2 linked regions of the Canis lupus familiaris genome follow. The protein of the gene in region 2 purifies or fractionates together with the protein of the main gene of each other region. This does not show direct contact. Links are inferred from orthologs where the notes say so. Each region holds a gene or a part of one and is shown on either strand. Other genes may lie near its edges.

Region 1 (7,523 bases), on a different chromosome or scaffold from region 2:
CTGTAGTCAATCTAAACACTTTCAAAATAAAAGCAAATATATACAATATAATAATTCATTTATCCAAATGACTATATAAAATACTGGATTGCTGGGAATTTTGAGTTGTTGAAAAAATAAAACATATCCAAACTGACAACTCACAAAATTTCAATTCGAATCATCCACACAAAGCCTAAAAGTCCATCAAATAACAGATGTTTCTTAGAAAAACATGAGTGAATGTAATTTTCAAGAAATAATAACAGAGAAGGGCATCTTTTATAACCATTGTTGATCAGAAATATAGCTTCATTCACAAACACGTAAACAGAGTCAAAATTTACAGAAAATTAGTGAGCATAAGAGAACATTTTTCAGTTGCAGTTACATGTTAGGGTTTACTTATAAAATTTACATATGAAGTTTTCTATCCTAACAATTTCATAGTTATAGCTTTCATGCTAGAACATGTCACCTTTTTCCACAATGAAGCTAAATAATTAGAACTGCAAATCTGGAGTCATCATTTGGCATTTTGTAACTACATAATTTGCTTTAAATGTGCTTGATTTTGGTTTATCAAAAACAGAAAAATGTAAAGCAATATCAGTTAAAAATACATAGTTTTCTTCTTCATTCTTAATTACTTCTAAATAGGCAGTTTAATACAGGAATAAGCTTTTAAAAGAAAACTTTGATTTCTAAAATAAACTGATTTGAGGTGAATATATAAAACATGACTGAGGTATGACTGGATTAGACTGCTATTCATTTTTTATATATTAGTATGAAAACAAATGGATGAATAGGACTATAAAATACAAATATTTATGTGAAATTTAAAGTGCCTCAGGAAACTATGTATCTTTCAGATTAAGTATATAGGTAAAGAAAATTTGTTAGAAGAAAATATTTTGTATGGATCACTCTCAAAACTCAAAAACAACAAAACTTACATTCTAAACATAAAATAAGACTTAAAAACCTCTAATACCAAAGAATTAAAGTGAAAAATATTTTTAAAATAAAAAAACTATACCATTTATCCAATGAAGGAGTTGTCATTTAAAATAGAGTTTAATACAAGCATGACAACATATTTTTATAGTATTATAGTTAAGTATTATTATCTAACACCAGGAACACACCTTTATTTTTGGAAGGCAACTGATTAAAGTTCTTTATATCTGTTTCACAAGTTTTTCCTAGTTCCAATTCATTTATATGAGTTTTTTTTCATATTACTATCAATGTTATCAATTTTACTTTCTTTAATATGCATGAGTCTATTCAATGTTGTGACTGTGCAATCCTCAGCTTTCATTTCTTGGACTGAATCCACTCCCTTAATAGTTCTAATTTCAAAAAGATCTTCAACTAAAATACAATTTGAATGATCAACAAATCTATTGTCTCTATCACTTTCAACTAGTTCATTCTTTTCTTCATTTGTATCCGCAGGATCATAAAGCTCAGGTGAAAAATAGATAGATTCATCCTCTGCTTCTGTTTCAGAAGCTCTATGTGAAGTGGAAGATTTAGCTTCTTCACCAAGTAGAGACAATTCAATGTCTGGATCCACGGCTTCTTCACAGCAAAATAGTTGTTTGGAACAATTTCTTTTAAGAAGAGTAGAATCAATCTTTACTGATGAAATGACTTCTGATTGAGAGCATGATGCATTTAACATCGGAGATGAGGATTCACATTTATCAGTGAGTGGCAAAACTGTTTTATAACCCTCTTCTGTTTCTAAAGTGGAAATGCTAGAGGCACAGTCCTCTGGTGACCTGAACTTAGGTCCTGCAGTCAGAATTTCACCAGTAAAATAACGTTCCAAAGAATTAAAGTTAGACCAGCTAACTGGCTTTGTTTGTTTGTTGAAGATTGGGCTTGTGGATCTGGAAATCACATTTTTTTCTGCTTTGACTGCCTGGGCAAACTCTTCTGATAATACAGGATCATCTACGAATACAAAATTTAAAAGTGTTAATTTTCTGCTTCTAATATAGTAATTTTTGTTAAAAATACTGAAATAACTGTATAGGATCCTAATTTAAAGTCCACAACCAATAGCAGCAGGACTTCCATATTAGAATATAGAGAACAAAATGTGAACTCTGAAAGGAATCTTAGATCTCCAGTGATTCTGAGCCCAAGTTATAATGCTGTCTGGTAAACTATCAAATTCCACACCAGGGACCTCAGAAGTCAATGAAAAAAGGAGGGGTAAAAGGAATAGGAAGAGGGCTGAGTAACGGAGGAAACACACTATAAAACTCTGCCTTAAAAATTCACTAACCAAGGACTGGGAAAAACTGATCTAGATTAATTCCCTAAAGGAAACTGGCAACCACAAAGACTAAATTATTTGTTTAAAGTTATAAAACTGGTTAGTAATCAGACCCAAACTAGAACTTAGGTTTCCTGATTACCAGTCTAATGGCTTTGAATTCACTAGGACATTTACTTAAAAAAAAAAAACAAAACAAAAAAACCAAAAAAACCCCAACCCAACAGGTACAACAAAGTAAATATTTAATGCTTCATATATTAAATTGTCATATATTAGTTAAAACAATTAAAATAATATCCAATGATACAGATCACAGTTTGGCAAACTTTTTCTGTAACTGGCCAGACAGTATAGATTTTAGGCTTTCTGGATCATATTACTGGCATACCTTCCTGTTTTTTAAATTTTTTATAAATTCATTTTTTATTGGTGTTCAATTTGCCAACATATAGAATAACACCCAGTGCTCATCCCATCAAGTGCCCCCCTCCGTGCCCATCACCCAGTCACCCCCACCCTCCCACCCTGGCATACCTTCTTTATTGTACTTTGCAAATAATGTGTTTTTTACAAATTCAAAGTTTGTGGCAACCTTGCATCAAGCAAGCATAGAGGCAACAGTTTTTAAAAAGCATTTGCTCATTTCATGTCTCTGTATCACATTTTGGTAATTCTTGTAATATCTCAACCTTTTTCATTATTATATTTGTGTGGTCACCTGCGATCAGTGATCTTTGATGTTACTACTGTAACTATTTGGGGCACTATAAATCACAGCCACGTAAGATGGTGAAGTTGGTAGACAAATGTTTGTGTTCTGACTGCTTGACTGACCAGCTGTTCCTCCATTTTTTCCCCTTTCCTAAGGCCTCCCTATTTTCTGAGATATAACAATATTAAGATTAGGCCAATTAATAATCCTCCAATGGCCTCTAAGCATCCAAGTGAAAGGAAGAGTCACAAATCTCTCACTTTAAATCAAAAGCTAGAAACGATACAGTTAGTGAGAAAGACATGTTGAAACTAAGATAGATCAAGCAGTAATTCTGACTTTCAGGTTTTATTATTTAAGAAATACACTTTTGGGGGCACCTGGGTCGCACAGTCAGTTAAGTGTCTGACACTTTTTTCAACTCAGGTCATGATCTCAGGGTCATGAGATTAAGCACTGCATCCAGCTCTGTGCTCAGCATGAAGTCTGCTTGTGATTCTCCCTCTGCTTCTCCTGCTCGTGTTCTCTCTCTCTCTCTCTAAAATAAATAAATAAATCAAAAAAAAAAAAAAAAGGAAATACATTATACATTTTTATAAGGCAATAGCTGCCATAGATCGGGATTCCCTTGATGAATCTAGGCAAAAAAAGTTGAAAACCTTCTGGAGAGGATTCACCATGCTAAATGCCATTAAGAATATTCATGATTCATGGGAAGAGGTCAAAATATCAATATTAAGAGGAGTTTGGAAGGAGCTGGTTCCAACCCTCATGGATGACTTTGAGGGATTCAAGACTTCAGTGGAGATGTGGTAGAAATATCAAGAGAACTAGAATGAGAAGGGAAGCTTGAAAACGTGATTGAATTTCTGCCGTCTCATAACAAAACTTCAATGGAAGAGGAATTGCTTCTTACACATGAGCAGGAAGTGTTTTCTTTCTTTCTTTCTTTCTTTCTTTCTTTCTTTCTTTCTTTCTTTCTTTCTTTCTTTCTTTCTTTCTTTCTTTCTTTCTTTCTTTCTTTTTCTTTTTCTTTTTTTTTCAGGAAGTGGTTTCTTGAGATGAAAGCTACTCCTAGTGAAGATGCTGTGAAAATTCTTGAAATGACTACAAAGAACTTAGAATATTACCTAAAGTTAGTTAATAAAGTAGCAACAGGGTTTGAGACGACTGACTCCAATTTTATTTTTTGTTTTGTTTTAAAGATTTTACTTATTTATTCATAAGAGACACACAGAGAGAGGCAGAGACACAGGCAGAGGGAGAAGCAGGCTCCATGCAGGGAGCCCACTGTGGACTCCATCCCAGGACTCCAGGATCATGCCCTGAGCTGAAGGCAGAGGTCCAACTACGGAGCCACGTAGGCGTCCCAGACTCCAATTTTGAAAGGAAGTTCTACTTTTAAGTAAAACAGTATCGCATGCTGTAGAGAAATCATTCATGAAAGGAAGAGTCAATTGATGTGGCAAACTTCAATGTGGTATTTTTTTTTTTTTAAGAAATTGCTGCAATCACCCCAGCCTTTGGCAAACACCACCCTGATCAGTTAGTAGCCATCAAAACTGAGGCATGACACTCCACCAGCAAAAAGATAATGACTTATTGAAAGCTCAGATGGCTAGTATTTTTTAGCAATAAAATATTTTTAAATTAAGGTATATACATTATTTTTAAAGACAGTGTTATTGTACACTTAAGAGATTGTAGTATAATGTAAATATAACTTTTATATGTACTGTGAAACCAAAAAATTCACTTGAATTGCTTTATTGTGATACTTGCTTTATCGTGGTGGTCTAGAACCAAACCCACAATATCTCTGAGGTACGTATGTACTCAATTATGCTGTTCCAGTACAAAACATACTATGACTAAACTCTGCTGTTGTGTACCATACGTAACTGAATAGACATGACTATGTTCCATTAGACGTGCTTTATGAAAACAGATGGCCAAATTTGGTCCATAAGCCATAGTTTGTCAATCCTTGACAGACTATTCTTGTGTGTGTGTGTGTGTGTATTCTTATATGTGTGTGTGTATATATATATGTATATTTTTTAAAGACCTATTTATTTATTTATTTATTTGAGAGAACGAGAGAGAGCCCACACAGTGGAGGAGGGGCAGGAGGAGAGGGAGAGAATCTCAAGCAGACTCCTTGCTGAGTGCAGAGCCCTATGTGGAGCTCAATCTCACAACTCTGAGATCATAACCTGAGCCCAAACCCCCAGAGTCTGATGCTTAATCAACTGAACCACCCAGATACTCCTCTATTTTTTACAATTATTTTTTTATCATTTAGTATAAATGACTCATATTTACCTAAACTAAGAAATTCATGTTTTTTACTTGAATACTGCTCTTGTATCTATAAATAGACCAATTTTTATTATAGCTTTTAGAAAAATATCTACCATTTGTACAGTATATTTTACTATGCTGTGATATTTATTCATGATATTCATGATATTCATATTATTAGATCTTTACAGCCCATCCTAAGAGATAGGTGTGTATAGATTCTTTTTTCTATTAAGACTCAAAAAAGTTACATGACTTGCTCAGGTCACACAGCTAGGTGGTGGCAAACCTTGTGAGTGGAGAACTACAAACTATGCTTAGATCTCTTGACAAAAGTTTGTTCCCATTCCAATACACCATATTATTTTATTATTTTATGGTAACACTTTCTATTTCAAACCGTGTTTTAAAAAATTAATCTATAGCACAATAAATATCATTTCACTGGATATAATGAAAGACTTCTCTATCAAATGTAAATAGGCAAAACTTTTCAAACCTTTTTCCTTTTTGGAGATGATGCCTCTTGGTAGAGGTGGACTTTCAGTTATTGTAAGACACTGTTGTTCTTGGACACGTATTTTTGCTTCACCTTTCCTAGGATTTTCTGGTATTAGAGGACTTGCTGCTTCTAAGTAAGTTAATGTATTGTCCTTCAAACAGGTCACTTCAAGTATAGACTCACTGTCTTGTGTAAACTTTCTGTCCTCTTTGGATACATTAATGACCTTTTGGTGCTTTCTGGAAAAATCAGACAAGGACTCCAGTGCACTTTCAAAGGTTGAATGGTGCTGAATCTGCTGCCGTATCCATTTGGAAAGTCCTAAGGAAAAAAGTAAACCCAAGGAAGAAACTGTAGTTATTTAGTTTCTTAAGCTATTATGTTTTGGGGCACCTGGGTGGCTCAGTGGTTGAGCATCTGCCTTTGGCTCACTCAAGTCATGATCCTGGGTCCTGCAATCAGGTCCAGCATTGGGGGGCTCTACACAGGAAGCCTACTTATCCCTCTGTCTATGTCTCTGCCTCTTTCTGTGTCTCTTATGAATAAATAAATAAAATCTTAAAAAATATGTATTAAGAAAACACTTAGATCATTTTTCTAATGAAGTAATCCACATGAATTTAGGGTATATAGAATGATTCTCAGTATTTTTCCTGCCTAAACATCTTCACATGTATACTCTGCTCATGTATCAGTAACATTTTTCTTTATGTGCAGTGATTATCAACTGGAGGGAGGGAAGAGGCAGAGGGGGAAATGTATTATTTGTCAGTTTAGGATAACTGGGGAAATAAGGCAAATTTAATTTCATCATAATTTTCCACAAATAATGCCTGCTCTTTAATTTTAAGGAAACTAAAAGTTGTAAACAACAATCAACAGTCTTCCATTCCAACTTTCTAACTTTGACTTCCTTCACAAAAATAAATTCAAGATTCCTTTTTTGTTGCTCTTCTCCCCCAATTCCAAATGTCTTAAACTATCCAGGGAATGAAAAGAATAACAATGTTATTAGGGACAAATCATGTCCTGTTTGTATATTTATTACATAATTCTTTTTTAATATATAAATAACCAAGTTATAAGGGATAGGATTTGACCTGTGACATGCGAGTAATGTATAAACTTGAACCACATAAAAGTATAAGTGTTTTGTTTAATTTCAGAACGAAATTCAAAATCAGACATTTGGATTTCTAAAAAATAAATATTCTCTGCTGGTTGGTATTACTAAAACTATCATCATCTTCTGAAGTAGTTTAAAAAGTCACTATGGTATTTTAAGTTAGAAGAAAAGTAAGACAGGGCTTCAAGTTTCAAGTTGTAATTCATTCATTTCAAATACATTCCCCTTTAGTATTTTTTTTTTTAATGGAGCTTTTCTATATTTAATGCAAATCAAATGGAGTTCTATAGTTAATACAAACTGAATTTTTTAAAAAAAAGATTTTATTTATTTATTCATGAGAGACACAGAAAGAGGGAGAGACACAGGCAGAGGGAGAAGCAGACTCCTCACAGGGAACCTGATATGGAACTCGATCCCGGAATCACGACCTGAGCCAAAGACAGACACTCAACTGCTCAGCCACCCAGGCGTCCCTACAAGCTGAATTTAAACAAAGACTAGAAATCAAAAGGAATTTGTATGTTGTGCTATTACTGTCTCGATAAGAAGACTTCAAATTTTTATGAATCTCAGAAAAAATAAATAAAAACCATACAAA
Region 2 (8,013 bases):
ATGCACTCGGACTCTTGGGATAAAAGAAGGTAAGGAGTTAATTTTCCTAAAAGTAGTCTCATTGGCATTAAGGAAAAACAAGTGTAAGTTCCTCTCCCTACATCAGTAGACCTAAGTTTTTCCAGTGTGTCCAAGATTTACTCTCTAAAAATGGACCTACCAGCACCTTCTAACTACCCACACTTCTCTCAGCAGGGCACCAGTTCATGTGGAGTACAGAGGAGTCCTCAAAGAAGTATTTATATTAGACTGACAGAATGCACAATCAGACCTCTGTCTGATGGAGCTGCAGCCTCTTGAGAATCTGGAGGAATAGCCAATGAAGGAAGGGGGAAGGATGTGAAGGAGCAGGAGAGAGAAAAATCCCAATCAGGACCCCGTTCTAATCAAGCTCTCAAAATACCTTTTCTGCTGAGGATGCCACAGACTTTTCTCAGAACTGTTTTACTGCTGTTTAACAATCTTTTGGTTTCAGGAATAGTGGTCGCACACTAAAGTGGGAAAATATAATACAATAAAGACCAAAATGAAGAAAAATCCAAATAACTGAAAGAAAGAAAGTTTATATCCATCAACTGGCCAAAATTCACTCTTTTCAAAATCAGCTTCCTCCCTAAATCCATTTTTGGACAAAGAACTTTTCTTTTGCTCATCCCCAGGCTCAAAAGCTTAGGGTCATCTTAGAGTCCTCCCTCTCCTTCAAGCCCTGTAATTAGTTAGGCCTCAAATTCCACAGATTCCTCCTTCAACATCTCTCATTCCATTCACTTAGATAGTTTTTTACTGCATACTGACTTATGCTAGTCTCCAGGTGACTTGGTTGGCAGGCACAGGATGATAGGATGTGGAGAGATACACAGAAATAGCTACTGAACAAGTCTACTAAGTGAGGGGTTATTAACAAGTCTAATAAATGACTGGTTGAGAAAAAAATACCACAAATATTTTGAAGTGTGAGATGATGTCTGGCTGGAGTAATCAGGAAACACTTAGGGGGCAGGCAGTGAGAACTCAAGCTGGGCCTTGAATCCAAGGTCTAACTTTGATGAGATGTAAATCGTGAAAGGAACTGGGAAGGAAAGCACTGAGAGAATAGCAAATGTGGCAGCCACCTGTCACTTAAGGTCCAGGAAGGGACTGGTAAGAGTAAGGGCTGGGGCCAGATAGTGGCAACTTCTAGTATGAAAAGTCTTTTATTTTTTTTTTTTAATTTATTTTATTTTTTTATTTTTATTTTTTGAAAAGTCTTTAACCCTTAGCCTACTGGGTCATTTCTCTTCTATCACTTGCACCTTTATATCTGACACCTTTCTTCTTTCATCAGAAACCCCAGTGCCAAGGTGCAAATTAAAGGTCGGTCATAGCTGCCTTTGTGATCACAGGGTATTCCTTCTGCATTTACAATTTGTAGGACAGGCTGCTGCTGTAAGTGGCTGAATAGAAAGCTGGTCCCTTTAGCTCTAACAAAGCTAGACTCAGGCTGGACTAGAAAGCAGATCTTATTCTGGGAATGCTTCAAAACTCTATCAGCCTTCAAAACCTTAACTAGGGCTGTGATCTCAGATTGAGAATACCCAATTCAATCCTTCTCAAATTCACTTTCATTATATGACTCCCTTGCTCAAGGATCTACAATGATTTCTATTACCTACACAATAGGTCTGGAATCCAAGGTTATGCATAATCCTATCTCACCAAAACTTTTCATCCTAACCTGTTACTACCAACCTCCTTTCCTATTCAGGAGCGCTAAATTACAAGAGTAGTGTTAACAGTCTTGGTTGAGCTGAGTAAAATTTAAACTAGACAGTAGTTTAGGCCATTTTTTTTCAGGCATAAAAAATATAAATTTTACAGAAGTATTTCTTTCTTTTTTTTTTTTTTTTTTACAAAAGTATTTCTAAGAACTTGGCAGTCCTTATCCATGCTGTCTTCTCAAGTGTATTTTGAATTTGAAAAATCCAAAATTATTGTTCATAATGTATAAATTGTGAAAGAATAGTTACAAATGGCACTGATATAACAGTAGGGGGTAGGCATGTGCATTTTCCAAAATCAGTGAACGTCACACTTAAGATTGTACACTTCACTGAATATAAACTGTACACCAAAATAAGCTATAAACAAACTAGTTAATAATATGCCTACCAAAGCATGTAGGAGGAAGTGTACTGATATCTGCAATTTAAATAGATGGAAAGATACTCCATAAAGCAAGTTAAACTGTTAATGGGACGCCTGGGTGGCTCAGCAGTTGAACAGCTGAACGTCTTTCAGCTCAGGGTGTGATCCCGGATCCGAGGATCCAGTCCTGCACCAGGCTCCTTGCAGGGAGCCTGCTTCTCCCATTGCCTGTGTCTCTGCCTCTCTCTCTGCATCTCTCATGAATAAATAAAATCTTAAAAAAAAAATGTTAATGGTAGTTTAGGTGGTGTGTGTAGATCTGCCTGTTGCAAAATTCTCTTTGTTTGACATTTTTCTTTTTCAAAAAATACTTATTCATGAGAGACACAGAGAGAGAGCATGAGGCCAATACACAGGCAGAGGGAGAAGCAGACTCCACGCAAAGAGCCCTATGTGGGACTCGACCCCAAGACCCCGGGATCGTGCCCTGAGCCGAGGGCAGAGGCTCAACTGCTGAGCCACCCAGGCGTCCCAGAAATTTTTCATAATAAAAAACACTGAGGGAAATGGCATTGATAACACACTATACTTTATAAAGCTGTAAGAAGTTAAATTTGGTTGCATAACAGCATCAGGCTTTTGCTCTTTGATGCTTCCTTGCCACCTTGCACATACCCCATACAGCCCATTTTATGGTGTGGTAAAACTGTTTGCATGGTTGTCTCTCCCACCACAATAGAAGTTCCTGGTGGGCACAGATCTAGTCTAATCTGTATTTATATTCCTATTGCTTTGTATCGTGTTTGGAGAATAGTATGTGTTCAACAATGGTGGGATGACTGCATGAAAGTGGAACTGCTAAGGTTCACTGTATACTTTCTCACATTCACTTTATTCATTTCTCACATATTCTAAAAGTTAATATGTTCAGTTTTCTTTTTTAATATGTTCAATTTTCAAAAGCAAGGTCTTTTACTTTTTCCCAAGCACACAAAATCTCCAGAGACAAAACTCATTTGTATTCAAGAGATTTCGTATTCCATTACTTAAGTCTGAACGCCTCCTAACACTCAACGTTTTCTTTTTTTCTGAAAGACTGAAGTCTCTGACTCCCAAGGAAATCTGGAATTTGTTTTATTCAAATCTTAGATAAGCCGTGAGAACTATGAGGTCCCTGAACTGGTCAAAAGCGGGAAACTGATGATCTGGGGGAAAGATAAAAACAAACACCACATAAAAAAAGTCATGAAGCAACTTAACCAAGAACTTTACCAAGAAACGAGATAGAACGTCTTAAGGGGCGTCCGCGGGACGTCTCAAACCCTCCCCTCACCCCCACCCCCACCCCCACCCCCACCCCCACCCCGATGGCTTCTCCCCTCCTCTCTCCAAGTCAGCCAGTCAGAGGCCGCGCCGCGCGGCCACTCCCAACATGCCGCGGGACTCCGGCTGACGCCGCCGAAGACGCTGCTTCTCACGTTAACCTCCGCCAGACGACGTGGTTTCGCGGCGGGAGAACCAGGTTCTGGGCTGGACGGCCCGAGTCTGAGTCCCAGCCTGCCCCCCCCTCCTGCCAGATGTGCGACTCTCGCCCTTTCCCGGCTCCAGTCTCCTCATCTGCGCCCCGGTGAGGACTCTAACCCCAGCTGGCGCAGAGTGACTGCCGAGATGAGGAGCGTGGAGGCGCCTGAAGGAGGATGCAAGCGACTCCCAAGCACGCGGTGTTCACAACCAGCCCCAGACCAATCTCTCAAAGTCACCGCCGTCCCTCACTCCCTTCCTGCCCGGCGGCCGTCCTGAGGCCGCTCCCTCTGGTCCGCCCCATGCGGAAGCCGCGCGGCGCCGTCCGCCGTACCTGCAGCCACTTGGTCAGCGGGGCCCTCCTGCTGACCCATGACGAAGTCGTGCACGAGGCCCCACAGCGCGCCCGTAGGCGCCACCGCCTCCAGAGCGGCGGCGGCGGCCATGACGCGAACCAGAGACCGCGGGAGGGGAAGTGGGCGGCGGCACGGGACGGGCCTCTGAGCGCACGCGCCCCCTGGGCCAATCGCCTGGCGAAGGCGAAAGAGGCGGGGCTGTCCGTGGATCACGTGCCTGCCGGCCCCCGGCCAGGCAGCTCCAGCTCCAGGGAGGGCTGGGACGGTCCCTCCCTGGGGGGCGGGGCTTGGGGCCTGGGCGGTGGCGCGGGCCGGGGAGGCGGCTGCCGGGCACGCAGCCGGGGGCCGTTGAGGGCGAATGATTCCCGGCCCGGCTACCCGGGAGACGGGCGGCTGGGCGGTCACCTGGCCGGTCACCTGGCCGGGTGGGGCCAGGGGGCGGTACACACCTGGAGGAAGCCAATGAGAAAACCAGGCCCGGTCCGAGGGGGCGGTGCCGCCGGTCACATGCGCACCTGGGGCGGGCGGCGGCGGAGGCGCGGGCACCGCGGGCGGGCGGCGGGGAGCTGGGCCGGGCTGGGGCGGGGTTAGGCAGGTGAGTGACAGCCTCTGGGGGGCCGGCCCCAGCTGGGAGCCCCGAGCTAGCAGGGAGTAGCTGCGGCGGTGCCCGCCCCCTCTCTCCGCCCCTCCAGCGGAGCTGGTCTCCGGCCGGGCACCGTCGCGGGCCCCCCTGGCCCGGCCACCTGGGACTGTGCTGAGGAATCGGCCACCTCCCTCTCCCCTCGCCCGCAAAGTTTGTGGCGAAGCCGGCGCCCGGGCCGAGCGCGCCCCCGGGGGGAGATCCGGGAGCGCCCGATGTTGGGAGGCGGGAGCCGTTGACCCGGGACGCCGCGGTCCGGGACAGGAGCTCCGAGCCGCCGACAAGCCCGCCGCCTCCCGTGCATGGGGCCCGGCTGAAGAGCCAGCATGGGCAACTGCGTGGGGAGACAGCGCCGGGAGAGGCCGGCCGCCCCGGGACACCCCCGCAAGCGAGCAGGTAACGAGAGGGAGGGAGCGGGGCCACGCGCCTCGCCAGTTGTCCCCCTCCTCGCCTCAGCCCCGGGCCGCCCAAGCGACCTCCCACGGCTCCCGGCGCCTGGGTCTCCCAGTGGCTGCTACGTAGCCAGACGGGGGCCCGCTCCCCAGCCCTGGTGGCGGGGGGAGCGGAGTTGGGGCAACTGCGAGCCCTGACCCGGCTGCGAGCCCAACTCGCTCCAACTGGGAAGCTCCGAGGGGGGGCGGGGGCGGGGGCGGGGGCGGGGGCAGGAAATGTTTGCAGACCGCGGCGGGGCCGGCGGAGAGGAGCGGGGCCCGGGACGGGGGCGCCGCTGGCCTGGCAGCCGGGCTGGGGTCGGAGGCTGGCCCGTCGGGGCACGGCGCGGGGAGCCAGCGTCCCCAGCACTCGGAGCGAGCGAGAACTGTCGCTTTTCCGAAGACTGTCTGTGTCATTATCCGGCTGCAGATCGTGTCTGCCGGAATCCAACTGGCAAAAGCAGCGCAGGACTCTGGGAAAGAAATCTTTATTTCTCCCGCAAGGCTTTTTAGAGCCTCCCGGCTGTCTGGAGTCTAGAGAAGGTGGGGTGCGGGGTGGGAATCGCTGGGGGTTGCTGGGATCCTTCCCAGCCTGGGGATGGGATCTGCTCCCTGGTGATCCGCAGGGGCTGGGCAGCGCCTTCTCACTTTCTCGGTACACTCCTCCTATACTGGCGCTTCGCCCTGGGAAGAGGTCTGGCGTTCGTTTCCCCGGGTCTTGTACTCACTTCCTTCTCGGAGGGTGTTGCAAGGACCTTCTGAGAATGATAAAAATCGTATACTTCAGAGTTGAAAGGGACCTTCAAACTCGTCTGGAGTCCAGATAGACCTAACTCCTCCTCCTGTCTGTGTAGAAGCCCAGATCCAGAGAGGTTAAACCACTTGCCCAAAGCCACACAGCGAGTTAGCAGTGCAGCTGGGGCTACTACGCAGTCTCCTCATCCACCCAGTTGCCACATATCCCTTTATGTAAGAGGGGCCACAGCCATGGTTGTTAATGAAGTGGAAACTCTAGTTGGAATTTCCGGCCTCCTTTGACACTGAAGGTGTGTTGCTTGGGTTGTGGAAACTGGGAAGGAAGATGAGGGCAAATGTGCGGGAAGCAGAGAAGGATGTCTGTGTGGTGGACAGGATGACTTGTGGAAGAAGAAAAATGTTTTTCGGGGGGTGGAGGGACGAGGTAAAATTTAACATTGAAAAAAACCTTTTGGCAACCCTGGCCATTCTGACTGAGGAAAGTTGATTCTCAAACCCAAGGGCTTTCCTTCGTTCATTCATTCATTTGCCCGCCAAATACTTATTATTTATGTGCTCAGTCCACATGATTGATTTTGTAGCATTTTTCGCTGGTGCCGATCCTCTCGTGCTTGAAGCTCTTCCCTTCTTGGCATTAGACTATCCTGCTTTTTTCCTCTGATCACTGTTCACGATCACATCGCGTCCTAGATGTGCGCACACCCATGGTTCAGCTTGACTCCCCCCACCCCCCATACACCTTCCCAGAGAAATCATACTCAGTCCCACAACTCTGTCCACTGGGGGAGACCCCTATACTGTATCTTCAGCTATTACCTGTCAAATTCCAGACTCACATCAGTAAAAGCCCACTGGACACGCTGATATAGTTATCATTAGAGTCAGCACTTCTAAAACCAAGCTCTGCATCTCTCCCTTCAGCCAGCTTCCCTTTACTCTTCCATTCTTGAAGCTGCCTAACGTCATACTTTGGAGATGTCTCTCTGCTGGCTTTCTCTGCCTCTCAGCCAGTCAGCCACTGCGACCTGCTGGTTCTTCCTTGGGAAGCCATACAAACCTGCTCCTTCCACTCTGCTTCACTCCCTTGTCATCTCAAGTCTACCCCACCTCCCTGGCTAAAGTTAGTTCCCCACCAAAAGCAAGTTCATCTTCGGTCACTCATCTGATGTCTGCACACTGTGCACCCTACCACCCTACCCCCAGAAGATGTTTGTCAAATTAACTTTTTTTGAATCCTATAATTCTATGTTTAGAAATCTTTTTTTTAAACAGAAACTTTTTTTTTTTTTTTAAAGTAAATTCTACACCCAGAATGGGGCTCGAACTCACAACTGCAAGATTAAGAGTTGCGTGCTCTACTGGCTGAGCCAGCCACATGCCTGTTTAGAAATCTTTTTGCACTTCTCCGCTTCTGTAGGAACTTTAACTTTCAAGGCTGTCCAGTTTGGTCGGGTCCTTTTTAAAGGCATGATTTTTTTTCTTTTCCCTTTATTAAGGCCACCAGTGTTTGCTCCATTGCCATTTTCCCCTTATCAAGAGCCTTTCTTCCTTTCAAGGTTTGCCTCAAATCCCATATCTTTCTAGAAGCACCTTGCCTGACAATTCCAAATCCTCCCCTTCTGAGGAGAACTGCAGACACATTATGCCATTTACTTAACAATTATCTACTCCACATAATTAGTCATTTCTTTGATGTTTATAGTCTTGTATCAGCACCTGTCCTGCAAGCCTTGAAGACCTGGGTTCTGTCCTATCCTTATGTATTTGTCTCTCACACCCGCTCATATAGCCATACAGATACACACATGCAGGTGCGCGCACACACACACAGTCAGCATTTAGCACACTGACTTGAACAGAGGAAGCACCCAATATTGCCGATTTTAGAGCATTAACCTAACTGCATCCTAGTGTCTGAATTTTTCACGTAAACATTTTACTGAAGTATATATCTGCATTTTTTTTAACCTGCTAGTGTATCATTTTTTCAATTCTGTAGGTCCCCCTATGAATAGCTTTATTCATAAAGTCCAAAGCCAAGAGGGACTCTCTAGGATGACAAGTTTGGTATGAAGGAAGGGATCCTCCTTAACTTCACAGCGTGCACCTGGCATTCCTGTAACATCTGCAGGTTACCCTTTGACAAAGACATAGTTTGATGTTGTAACACTAATGCCTAAAACTC

Evidence for each region.
Region 1: the proteins of MMS19 (region 2) and BRIP1 purify together in Homo sapiens (affinity purification with western blotting; 3 studies listed by BioGRID and IntAct, with this or other methods). This does not show direct contact. The link is inferred for Canis lupus familiaris from reciprocal best matches to the Homo sapiens genes MMS19 and BRIP1.

What each region holds. Positions count from the first base shown.
Region 1 is NC_049230.1:34,941,707-34,949,229, reverse strand, and holds the end of BRIP1 (Fanconi anemia group J protein), read right to left. Parts: intron 6,118-7,523; coding exon 5,794-6,117; intron 1,948-5,793; coding exon 1,199-1,947; 3' UTR 59-1,198; downstream 1-58. UniProt on the Homo sapiens protein: DNA-dependent ATPase and 5'-3' DNA helicase required for the maintenance of chromosomal stability. Acts late in the Fanconi anemia pathway, after FANCD2 ubiquitination.
Region 2 is NC_049249.1:10,963,818-10,971,830, forward strand, and holds the start of MMS19 (MMS19 nucleotide excision repair protein homolog), read right to left. Parts: upstream 4,139-8,013; 5' UTR 4,092-4,138; coding exon 3,980-4,091; intron 492-3,979; exon of another isoform or gene 404-491; intron 1-403. Other genes in the region: UBTD1 (ubiquitin domain-containing protein 1), read left to right, coding at 4,968-5,037. UniProt on the Homo sapiens protein: Key component of the cytosolic iron-sulfur protein assembly (CIA) complex, a multiprotein complex that mediates the incorporation of iron-sulfur cluster into apoproteins specifically involved in DNA metabolism and genomic integrity.